Linked DNA regions of Saccharomyces cerevisiae S288C. The gene in region 3 interacts genetically with the main gene of each other region. Each region holds a gene or a part of one and is shown on either strand. Other genes may lie near its edges.

What was found.
Region 1: mutations in ZRT2 (region 3) and DIT2 together harm fitness more than expected from each alone (negative genetic interaction), as found in Saccharomyces cerevisiae (2 studies listed by BioGRID).
Region 2: mutations in ZRT2 (region 3) and SOK2 together harm fitness more than expected from each alone (negative genetic interaction), as found in Saccharomyces cerevisiae (2 studies listed by BioGRID).

Annotation. Positions count from the first base shown.
Region 1 is NC_001136.10:1,271,672-1,275,721, forward strand, and holds DIT2 (putative cytochrome P450), read right to left. Parts: upstream 2,033-4,050; coding exon 563-2,032; downstream 1-562. Other genes in the region: URH1 (trifunctional uridine nucleosidase/nicotinamide riboside hydrolase/nicotinic acid riboside hydrolase), read left to right, coding at 1-414; DIT1 (Dit1p), read left to right, coding at 2,931-4,050. UniProt on the Saccharomyces cerevisiae protein: Involved in spore wall maturation. Thought to catalyze the oxidation of tyrosine residues in the formation of LL-dityrosine a precursor of the spore wall.
Region 2 is NC_001145.3:302,628-307,435, reverse strand, and holds SOK2 (Sok2p), read left to right. Parts: upstream 1-1,842; coding exon 1,843-4,200; downstream 4,201-4,808. UniProt on the Saccharomyces cerevisiae protein: Plays a general regulatory role in the cyclic AMP-dependent protein kinase-stimulated (PKA) signal transduction pathway by regulating the expression of genes important in growth and development. May inhibit the switch from unicellular to filamentous growth.
Region 3 is NC_001144.5:402,217-405,694, forward strand, and holds ZRT2 (low-affinity Zn(2+) transporter ZRT2), read right to left. Parts: upstream 1,847-3,478; coding exon 578-1,846; downstream 1-577. Other genes in the region: snoRNA-binding rRNA-processing protein DIP2, read left to right, coding at 1-272; DNA-binding transcription factor ACE2, read right to left, coding at 2,294-3,478. UniProt on the Saccharomyces cerevisiae protein: Low-affinity zinc transport protein. Active in zinc-replete cells and is time-, temperature- and concentration-dependent and prefers zinc over other metals as its substrate.

The DNA.
Region 1 (4,050 bases), on a different chromosome or scaffold from region 3:
ACTCACAAGGCCATAGCTACTTACAAGGTTAACGAAATGATATACAACGAAAAGAATAACAGCAAGTTACGAGAATTGTTTTTGGAGCTTTTTCAATTTTTTGCTCATACCTACAAGGATATGCAAGGATTTGAATCGGGCCCACCTATACATGATCCGGTAGCTTTGATGCCGCTTTTGGAATTTTATGGGTGGGATCCATCGTCTGCGGTTGGATTTCGCTACAAGAGAATGGACATATCCTGCATTGATGATGTTTTCAACGAAAACTCAGGGAAAATTATCATTGAAAAAGAATATCCAAATGACAGTGATGTTGGTACAATAATTGGTCTCGATTTGAATATCCAGTACTTTTGGGATCAGATTTTTGAAGCATTAAATAGAGCAGACAAAATGTCAACGATTGGATAAGAACTTCTATAAAAGGCTTTTTTTTTTTCTACTGACCTTTGGTCAGGTTCTGTTCCTTTCATTTTCACTGGATACAAAGAAGTTTCACTAAAAGTTGTCGCGATTGTATACATATATGCGTATATATACAATTCTACATGTTTTATATTTATTCCATTATATTCTCGTTAAATTTTAACTTTAAATTAAGAGGGCAAAGAGGCCCAGCGGGAGTTAATTTTTCTTCCCATTCAGGGTCAAGACTCCATCGAAACTGTTTCAACATTTCAGCCAAAGAAATTCTCATTTCTGTTAGGGCTAGTTTTTCCCCTAGGCATGCTCTTCGGCCTCCATGGAACCCAGTCACAGCACATCTGTTTTTCGCCATTCTCCAGTTTTTCCTTATGGTTTCGATATCTGAACCCCATCTTTCTGGTTTAAAATCATCTGCTGTTGTGCCCCAAGTTTTGGGATCGTGTGAGGTTCCAAAGTTGTTGTACCCGACATATACGCCCTTGGGTATAACAATTTCCGCCCCCAACTTGCACGTTTTGGTAGTACATCTATTAATAATTGTGCTCAAAGGAGGATACATTCTTACTACTTCGAAGAGAAAAGCATTTAATAAGGGTAAATCTGCTAAGCCTTTTGGATCAGTGATGCCGTTTACTTCCTTCCTGAGTTTCTCTTGCCATTCATTTGAATATTTGGCTAGAAGGTAGAGTGAACTATTAAATAGCAACTGCGGGTTTTCATGGCCAGCGACAAGGATAATGACGATATTATCGGTCAACTGTTTGTAGTCGATTATTTCGTTATTGTGAGCACGAATTAGATCACTGGCAGCAAAAGTAGTTTGTTCAAATTTGTAATTATTGACTAATTCATCTTGAACTCTTTTAACGAGAAGTTCTCTAAAACTAACAACATCCTTGAAGGCTTTTTTTCTTGAAGGAATAGGAAGAACATCAAGGAATGGAAAAGTTAAAAAGAATGGATGAAATATTTGCTTTTTAATACGAATCAAATGCTCGTGGAAAGCATTTTTTTCATGTGTTAGAGCACCAAAATCAAATCCAAGGGCAACCTGTGAAATGTTATCCAATGCCATTCTCTGGGATAAAGGTCCCATAGGGATCGAAGTTTGTCCTTCTAGGAGTCTGTTTTTTATCAAAGTGCATAAAATTTTTGCATTTTTGAATATAGGTGCATCGTCAAAATGTTGGAGCCCGTTTGTCACAGCATTTCTGTAGTTTCTCCAAACTGCACCATACGCGCTAATGACATTGTCCCCTGTGTAAGCGGCAAGAGCACTGTATGGGATTTTCTTTTGATTACCGCTCTTCGCAAAAGTATCTTCATCTTTGAATATTTGTGCTAGATACTCAGAACGAGAAACGAGAATATTCCACCGTGAACCAAAGAAAAATTTTACAGCACCGTATTTTTCCATTGATTCCCTAATATAAAGATCGTATAGCTCCGTTTGATCAATGGGAAATATTACTGGTAAAAATACTACATAAAATGGGATGGTGGGTATATTTTTGGGAAAGTTTAGAGGTGGGACAATGATTGCAAAGGCGACATAGGAAAGAGTAAGAAATAAAATCAAACACAGAAGCTTTAACAACTCCATTTTTAATGCTTTTTTCGATTTATTCTCTTAGTCTGAATCAAATACCATTTTGAAAAAACGAAAATATTTCAAGAAAATTAATGTATTTTTTTGCACTACCTAATATACTATTCGCATCAGGATGACCAGTCATTCCTCTTGTGGTCCGTGGCTTGTAATTTTCGGGAAAGATAGAAATCACTGCATTCATCGAAAGAAGTGAAAATAAATTGTATCGGGGAAGTAATGAGGGGTGGAATACGTAATTGCTTCTCAATTTGATAATACAAGTTACAGTCTTTTTATTGAGAGTCCCTGGAAGGAAAATTATTGATGTTTACCTTTTTTTGCGACGCGCGTCTGGCCATAAATAAAAGGGTTCTCTTGCCAAGAAAAAATAAAAAGGCGCCTTAAGGGACCTTCTATGACAAATATGGTGAGGTATGCAACCTCAATGAAGAGCAATGAGAAAATTTAAGGGGTAAGTAAGCATCGGAATTTGTTGTTTCCTAACAATTTGTCTAATTTACTCAATAATATCAGGAGAATTGATCGAAAAAAGCAAACCAGGAACCCCTCACAAATAAGGGAACATAAAGTAATTGCTCGTCTTTACATACATGGCACTCAATCCCAGACGTCGCGTGCTAAAAATCCTTATATTATTGGCCCCTCAGGAGTTTATTTGAATTTTGATTGCATTGCTTTCAGTGGACAGTATATCATAAAATTTGCAAGGGCATAGTGCCTGCCCTACGATGTTGTAAAACAATTTCTGAAAATAGGTTCAGAATCAAAAATGATGTATAAATATTGAAATAAATTTTCACATAAATTGTGCTCCTCCGCAAAGTCTTGACTAAATAAACAATTTGTTAATATCCTAATTCGGTAAAGCTTTGTCGAGACATTAACAAAAATGACATTTACTAGCAACTTGCCCTCAAGCTCCGAGCAGTCAATATCACCACCTGCCTCTTCATTTTCTTCATCGACTGATACGTTGAAAGATATTGATATTCCCCATAATGGGGCCGATTTGTCTACATATAGTAAATTTCTGGCCCTGTATTGCAGAAGCGACAAATGTGACGATTTTTACTCTTTAGAGGAAAAACAGAATTGTAAATTTGGAGACCAATGGCTCGACTTTATCAACACTATTCACAATCTGGACTTTTCTGAATCCGAAGTAAGTGGACGGGTTTCTGAAAGAATTTTGCCAGCTTCTTTAGCAAATAAATTTACCAATAATTTAGGAGTGGCAATAAAGATTTCTGAATATACACGCGATGACGAACGCCAGATTCGTGGGTGTGTTACAACAGTTGAGAATGAAAATTCTTTCAATAACTGGTTCGTATATCATATTTTAGACCAATCTCAATTATCTCTAAGTGAACATCCAATTGTAACCAAAGAAGTTAAGTATCACGAATTATTTGCAGATTTTTTTGAGAAAAATTTGAAAAACACAATAGTTAATGATCAATGGAATTTTGGTGGCCGTGATTATTTTATTGAACGTTCAAGATATTTTACCGATCGATATTTGAGAATTGAATGCATCTTGCCAGCGTTTCCATGTAAGTCATCTAATGAGCAAAAAGTGTACGGTTCCGTTCCTGACAAAGGCGAAGAACTCGCTTTGAAAAGATTAATAAAAGCCACACAAGACCTTGTCAAGATATATCCACCGGGTATGAAAATTTGGATAGTTAGTGATGGCCATGTTTTCTCCGATTGTATTGGGGTCGATGATGACGTCGTGAGTACTTACACGACCAAATTGCACGAACTGTATAAAAGAGTGGCTATACCTGGTGTTGACGCCATTGGCTTTTGTGGATTGAACGATTTATTTTTTAGCGGTGCAGCTAGTAAAGTTTTCGATCCAAAGTGGGTTAGTGATGTTGAAGTTGCACACTACACAGGAACTCAAATCTGTCCTAAGTCCGATTTGTCGAGACAGATTTTGATGAAAGGCTGTGATACAGATGCAGGTCGTTTGAGAAAGCAGATTGCAATAGAAGGACATC
Region 2 (4,808 bases), on a different chromosome or scaffold from region 3:
ATAATAGTGTTAACAGAGAAGGTTTATCAGTAGCTAAAGCGAGCAAATTACTGGTTAACTTATCGTATTTTCCGTACTGTGGTGAATCTTATGCAAAATGAACCTGGCTTTGGCGGGAGTTTTTTTTTATGTGACACAATGGCCTTTTGCCGGTGGTAAATACGCGCTTCAAAAAGGTTGTTACACAGCGGCACATTAGCATGACACAATCTTGATCCTTTACAATTACTACACCGCCAAGTATAAAGCTTTTCCCAACCAACGTGTTTGCCAAGTAATTTTGTGTAGAGTGCGGCTGACTAACAGCCTTAACCGGGTACTCTGTTCCCTGCATTTGCATAAAAACTACAAAGAAAAGAAAGAAGGAAATACTCCGAACCAAAGAGATACAACAAGAATACTTCTCTCATTACATCGGCACCTTCCTGGGGATTAATTCCTTACAAGCGCTGAAAAAATGAAGAGATGATTCCGTACTTCAACAATGGCTTTTAACCTTATTACCCCAAGAGAGTGTCTACAGAATTAAGGCCCATTTAATTTTTACCTTCCTGTTCCTGCATAACAGACACCCCTTACCCGCATCAACAGGAGGGGAGGAAACATTGCCAATATGTCTGCGAATTGTGACAACCAATCCGCATGCACGGTGGGGGGCGGTTGAAAGCGCCTAGACTTCCCTTTTTTGGATTGCTACGTCACCTTCGCAGCGTGCACCAGGTGCATTCACCACACGAAAAGATGCGAAAGCACACCAAGCGCGAAATTCCGGTTTTTGGCTTGTTTGTTTCGGGCTCCGCCTCATCGTCTTAGCAAATCTAGACCTTGTTGAAAAATCGTGCAGGGACTCCGTACCTGCACAAGCAACGCGGCATAATACATGTAGGGATACAGCAAAGATATTGTTTCTGAATGGGCAAAACATTGCTTTCCGCAAACGGCTTTTTCTTCTCTTTCCCACCACCGTGGGTCACCTTTTTCTTGCGCCTCTTATGCCAACACACTCTTCCCGTGATGCGAATGGTAAAGAAGTTAACAAAAAACACAAAAAATTCATATTCCGATTTCTCTGCAAAGAAGCCTGAGCGGGAACTGCATGTCCGCTTGACTTGTCTTCCCTCCGGTTAGCTGTGCCTGCAGGGAAACCGCAGTAGAAGGACTGCGGAAGGATCTTTTCCCGCCGTTGATGTAATCTTTAAAGTTAATTTTTCCCTCACACAGTTTGCATTTTTCCCGCATGTTGTCCGGTTTTTCTTTCTTTTGTTGCTTTTTCTTCCGTGGGCCTGACGGAACATTCCAAGTTGAGTGCGATCTGACTAAGGAACTAGTAGAGGCTACCGCTCAGTAAGTTTAACAGTCGGCTAAGCATCGATCATCTCATTCTTTGCCTTCACTCAGTTCTTCGCAATAGTACAGTGCTGCGCAATAGACGCACGTATCAGTGATGTATTCTTTCTCTTGTCTTCACATAAAAAGTACGTAGATGTGTTGCCCGTTTGTGTTTTATTAACTTATCGAATGTGGCAAGCCGACGATACAAAAGAAAAAAGTTCATCTTTAACACTTCTTTTTGTTAGTTTTTGAAGTTTTTCCCCACTATCTTTTGCATTAGTTGTGTGTGCCTGTGCGTGTGTAAGCCTTCTAGTATAGTTGATAATCCTTTTCCATAGCTTTTTATATTGCAAGCAGAGAGATATCATTTTGTGCTGTTTTCATTAAACATACTTCACAATTGTATAAAAAAAAAAAACCTTTTTGATCTTTGTTTTCAGAAATTGAAAGTGGATTTGTTAAGCACAGTACAAAATCATCCTTATATAACCCTGGTAAGGTCCTTTTGTCATGCCCATCGGTAACCCAATCAATACGAATGATATCAAGTCCAACCGCATGCGCCAGGAATCAAATATGAGTGCCGTGAGCAATAGCGAAAGTACTATTGGCCAGTCCACCCAACAGCAGCAGCAACAACAACAATATCTCGGCCAGAGCGTTCAACCTCTGATGCCCGTATCCTACCAATACGTAGTTCCTGAACAGTGGCCGTACCCGCAATATTATCAGCAGCCGCAATCCCAGTCTCAACAGCAACTGCAATCCCAGCCTCAGATGTATCAAGTTCAAGAATCCTTTCAGAGTAGCGGTTCTGACTCAAATGCTTCCAATCCACCTTCCACGTCTGTAGGTGTTCCTTCCAACGCTACTGCAACTGCGTTACCGAATGGTTCTGCAATCACCACCAAAAAAAGCAATAACAGTACTAATATCAGTAACAATGTACCATACTACTATTATTTTCCCCAAATGCAAGCCCAACAATCAATGGCATATTCGTATCCACAAGCGTATTATTATTATCCTGCAAACGGCGATGGAACCACTAACGGTGCAACACCATCTGTAACCAGTAATCAAGTCCAAAACCCCAATTTGGAAAAAACCTACTCAACCTTTGAACAACAGCAACAACACCAGCAGCAACAACAATTACAAGCTCAAACGTATCCGGCCCAACCACCAAAGATAGGTAATGCATTTTCAAAGTTCAGTAAATCTGGACCACCTTCTGATTCGTCCAGTGGCTCTATGTCTCCCAATTCTAATCGCACTAGTCGCAATAGTAATAGTATCTCGTCCTTAGCTCAGCAGCCTCCAATGTCAAACTATCCACAACCTTCCACCTACCAATACCCCGGTTTTCACAAGACTTCGTCAATTCCAAACTCGCATTCTCCAATTCCTCCAAGATCATTAACAACGCCAACTCAAGGTCCAACCAGCCAAAATGGACCTTTAAGCTACAATCTTCCGCAAGTGGGTTTGCTACCGCCTCAGCAACAACAACAGGTGAGCCCGTTGTATGATGGAAATTCTATAACTCCACCAGTTAAACCCTCTACTGATCAAGAAACTTATTTAACTGCAAATAGGCACGGAGTGTCAGATCAACAGTATGACTCAATGGCTAAAACCATGAATTCTTTCCAAACAACTACCATAAGGCACCCGATGCCCTTAATCGCCACTACCAATGCCACAGGCAGTAACACCAGCGGCACTTCGGCAAGTATAATAAGGCCAAGAGTAACAACAACAATGTGGGAGGATGAAAAAACGCTATGTTATCAGGTAGAAGCTAACGGTATTTCAGTGGTAAGAAGAGCAGATAATGATATGGTTAATGGTACCAAACTTCTGAATGTAACTAAGATGACAAGAGGTAGAAGAGATGGTATTCTAAAAGCGGAAAAAATCAGGCATGTGGTGAAGATTGGTTCCATGCATTTGAAGGGTGTCTGGATACCGTTTGAGCGTGCCCTAGCAATAGCACAAAGAGAAAAAATTGCTGACTATCTTTATCCCTTGTTCATCAGGGATATTCAGAGCGTATTGAAACAAAATAATCCAAGCAATGATAGCAGTAGTAGTAGCAGTAGCACTGGTATTAAATCCATCAGTCCGCGTACCTATTATCAACCTATTAACAACTATCAAAATCCTAATGGTCCTTCAAATATATCTGCTGCTCAGCTGACATACTCCTCAATGAATTTGAACAACAAAATTATACCCAATAATTCTATACCAGCTGTAAGTACAATCGCTGCGGGTGAAAAGCCCTTGAAAAAATGCACAATGCCTAACTCTAACCAACTAGAAGGACATACTATAACTAACCTACAGACCCTTTCGGCAACAATGCCGATGAAACAACAACTGATGGGCAACATAGCTTCACCCTTATCGTATCCACGCAACGCCACAATGAATTCGGCAAGTACATTAGGCATTACACCTGCAGATTCAAAGCCTTTGACACCTTCTCCAACTACAACAAACACAAATCAATCATCTGAATCAAATGTGGGAAGTATCCATACAGGAATCACCCTTCCAAGAGTGGAATCTGAATCGGCATCACATTCCAAATGGTCTAAGGAAGCAGACAGTGGGAATACTGTACCAGATAATCAAACATTAAAGGAGCCACGATCTAGTCAATTACCAATCTCCGCATTGACTTCGACGGATACTGACAAAATAAAAACAAGTACAAGCGATGAAGCAACACAACCGAACGAACCTAGTGAAGCAGAACCTGTCAAGGAGTCAGAGTCATCCAAATCACAAGTTGATGGAGCTGGCGATGTCTCCAACGAAGAAATTGCTGCTGATGATACAAAAAAACAAGAAAAATAGAACAACTATGAATTCCTTGGATAATTATGTTACTTTAATCAAAACCCTACCGCCCACATATATGTACATACGTTATGCATGAGGTGGACTCATGTTATAAATGACATCTATCACGCCTATAAGATAGACACATTGAACACTTCTTTCCTTTGACGTAATCTCTTTACACGTAAAAACTTCGTTATTTCCGCGGCGCGGTTGTGAACGTGGGAGGTTCCCCGGAAAACATCACAAGCAGCTGCTCGTTCGCGCATATGGGCGCCCACACCCCACACCCCTGGATTTTTTAAACGAGAAACTCGTAAAGAGACAGTGTATTTGTTCCGCAATTTCCGGGGCGGGTAATATTTGTTACCATAGTTCTCGAGAAGGTTTCCCTCGTTTAAGTCTGCGAAGTCTCGTACCTTTTATCGCTGCTGACAAAACATAGCCCAAACCTGCGTCTATATGCTGCCGGTGTTTATATCGCTATTGAAGAGAGCTCATGTTTCGGTTTTGAAAAGATTTTTTATCGAATCGGTTGTAAAAGATCGTCCTTATTGTCTTCAGGCAAAGGGACTGATTGGTTTATATACGCAAGCAGGGAATCTTGTTGGAAGAAAAAAATT
Region 3 (3,478 bases):
GCAAGAATTTATTTTTCATTATCAAATTTAATCATAAAGAATTGGTTTCTCAGAAAAATGAAGAATTGAAATTGCAAATAAATAGAGTAAAGACTGAATTAAGAAGTGCATTAAAATCTACCGAGGATGATCTAGGCTTTAATGTTCAAGGGTTGAAATTCGTCAAGCAACAATGGAATCTAAGGCATAACTACGAATTCGTTGACGAATATGACCAACAGGAGAAAGAGAGTAATAGTGCAAGGAAGAGAGTTTTCGGGACCGTTATATAATAAAACTATTATCCTACATAATACCGGCATTACTCTGCCCTTTTCACACTTCAAAAGGATAGATTAAATTATCTGTATATTATACAATTCCAATCATAAAAATTGTCATTCCGATTGCCCTTCGGTAATAATGGGCATATCCAAATAACGGAATATGTGTTTTTTATACTTATTGGTCGCTGACATATGCTGTTTTTTGCGAGATGTCTCTCGTCTCTGCAGAGCAGTTGTAAAATTATAGGTCATGCATTTTTTTTTTTTTGATAATGAATAACTATCTAATCTAACAAAATATACGTGAGATACTATGCCCATTTCCCTAGAAGAGCCATTAAAGCAGCTCCACAACACATGATGAGATATGCACTAAGCATTTTTTTGAGGCCATCAGGTCCTTTGAATTGATTAGAGTATAAGAATTCATGAGCCATTAATTCGACTAGTCCAGTATAAATAAGAATTCCTGATGATATCGAGTCAAAAACACCATTAGCAATTAATGCTCTTCTAGAGCCAGGTATCCAAGAGTGTCTGACACCAATACCTACCGCGACTGCTATGGGTGACGTTAAAGTGAAGGCTAATCCCATTAACCAAGGCATGTACTTCTTACTTTCTGGCCAATTCGTTTCGGCAACTCTTGTGCCTAGACCCAAACCTTCGAACATTTGGTGGAAAGTTAAAACGATAAATAAGGTTTCGAATTCTTCACCCGCGACAGATAGCGAAAGACCCACAAATACAGAGTGAAAGATGATGCCAAATTCTAGAATAAAAACAGCTAGTATCTGATTGAGATACTGCTCTTTATCTTCCTCCTCGATACGTGTGGCCAACTGGGAGACATCTTGATGGTCATTTTCGTGAGAATAATGATCTTTTCCAGGTACAGAAGCGAGATTTGTCGCATGGGAACTGGTTGGAACTAGTTCATTAGCTAGTGACTCTGTTTTTCCCGGTTCCAGATCATAATTAGTAACATTTGAGCCGGGTTCTTTTTCCTTTATAGGAGTAGCGACAATCTCTTCATTTCTAGTAGTGTACGGAGTTTTGTCATTATGGATGGAGTAGGCAGCTTCGTTATTGAAAGATACAGGATCCGAGTCCATATTTCTGATGACAAATCCCGAACTGGGAGCATCAACATCAATACTGGTAACTTCCCCATGGTCCCCATGATCGTGTCCCAGCGTTTTCGCTACAAAATAATGCGTGATGATTTCAGTGAAGAAAAGTAAGAAAAGCGACATTAAACAGATCCCAAAAGCCCATGGATATTCGGCAAATGTGCCACCAAGACATTCATCTCCCAGAGCTTCGGCTGCGGGCTGTAGAAGATGAACGAACGCTGTGGCAACAATGACACCAGAACCGAAGAACTTCGCTATGAAAAAGCACCAATTTGGTAGCCTTATAAACGAATACCGTGATGACAAAATTGGGAAATAAACTCCCAATCCTGACGATATCAGTATAATGAATACTGCCAGAATTCTAAGACCTGCGTGCCCATTGTAGCCGTTAGAAGCTTGGCAAGTATCTACGGAGTCATCCCTCGCTATAAGATCAACCATACTTTCGAATATGCAGTGTCACTTGGAAACGCCTGCAATGTTTTCTTTGGTTGATGCACCGTTGTATTTTCGGAGATCAACTTTAGCTTTCTTCCGGTCTAACCAACAGGGTGTATGATTCAATAAACAGTATCATCATATATAGTGGGTTTTAGATCGTGTCTCCCAAAAGGTTGCGTCATTTAAAATCGTCACACTGTGTTTTACCAAAGGATGTGTGAAGCTGGTTTGTAGTAGTTAAAGGGCAATGTACCCTAAAGGTTGTGAAAAATTTTCATTTTCGAGAAGGAGTCGCATATAACCTTTAGGGTTATGTCCCTATAAACGATGACTATTGCCTTTTTTGGCCCTTAAGACTACAGTGTACGTAAATCGTAAAGAAATAAATGTATTATATTATTGTTACTATTATTTATTATGTTAATATCATGCATAGATAAATGTTCGTCAGAGAGCATCAGTTTCGTTTGAAAGGGTGCGGTTCGAGTTTTGCTCGTGCGCTGCTGTGGATGGGGGTGGATCCAGTAATCCATGTTTGCGCATATCATCTCGCAGCTGTTCCTCCATTTTCATTAGGACGCTCCCATCTTTATCCCGGGCGATAGTTTCTTTTACGGGACTTGTGTCATGCGGGCTGTCAAGCAGGCTTTTTTTGGGAGATGTAAGTTTCTTGTTGATCGAATGTTCTAATTTCTTACCGCCGGTGCAAATCATCCGACTTCTATGCACCATTAGAGCATCCTCCCTATTAAATCTCTTTCCGCATGGGCAGATGTATTTCTTGGCATTATGGGAGATTTTGTGTCTTATTAAATCATGATTGCGAACAAACGCCTTGGTGCAACCGGGAAAGTCGCATGAATACGGTCTATCTTGCAAATGTGTCTGAATATGCGACCTTATGTTGTATCTACGCTTGAATACTTTGTTACAGTTAGGGTATAAGCACTCGAATAGTTTGTCGGGTAGTTCCTTGACGTACTGGTCAATGGTACCCGGAGGCAGAGTAGTTGGTTTCTTGGTTATTTTCATTGGCGTAGTCCTAGGTATTATTTCATCTGGTAAAGGAGACGTACTATGCAAAGTGGGGCTTTTGTGAATATCATGTGTGACAGGTGGTACTTGCGGATAGCTTTCCACTTCACAGTGACTGTTATTTCGTATGGGTGTCTTAATTTCTAACTGATGATCTGTTAAATCCGGTGCATTTAGAAGCGGAGCTAGGTTACTTCCGTTCTTTGGTGGAGCTTTGACGGGAGTATGTTGAAATACATGTTTTTGTGGCAAAGAATTCTTAATTGGAGTGTTATTGCTGGAACCAGGAATAGGAGGTAGTACACTTGATGACGCTAAAGCGTTTGCATTTCTTAATGTTGGGTTCTGGGTATTTCGCATGTGGATGGGTTCAGTGTCATCCTGCAGTTGTGATATTGTCGAGACCGTGGAAACTACGGATTCCCTTTTCTTGTGGATAGGTGACAACTGTGTTCTAGGCGTGAACGTGCCAGCAGCATATCGATCATCCCTGCTTTTATCTGTGCCGACGAGGAAGGGCGATCTCAAACTATTTCCATTTATCCTTGGAGAGATACTTAGCCCACCCGGGGAAGTCTTTTCGAACAGACGGAATAT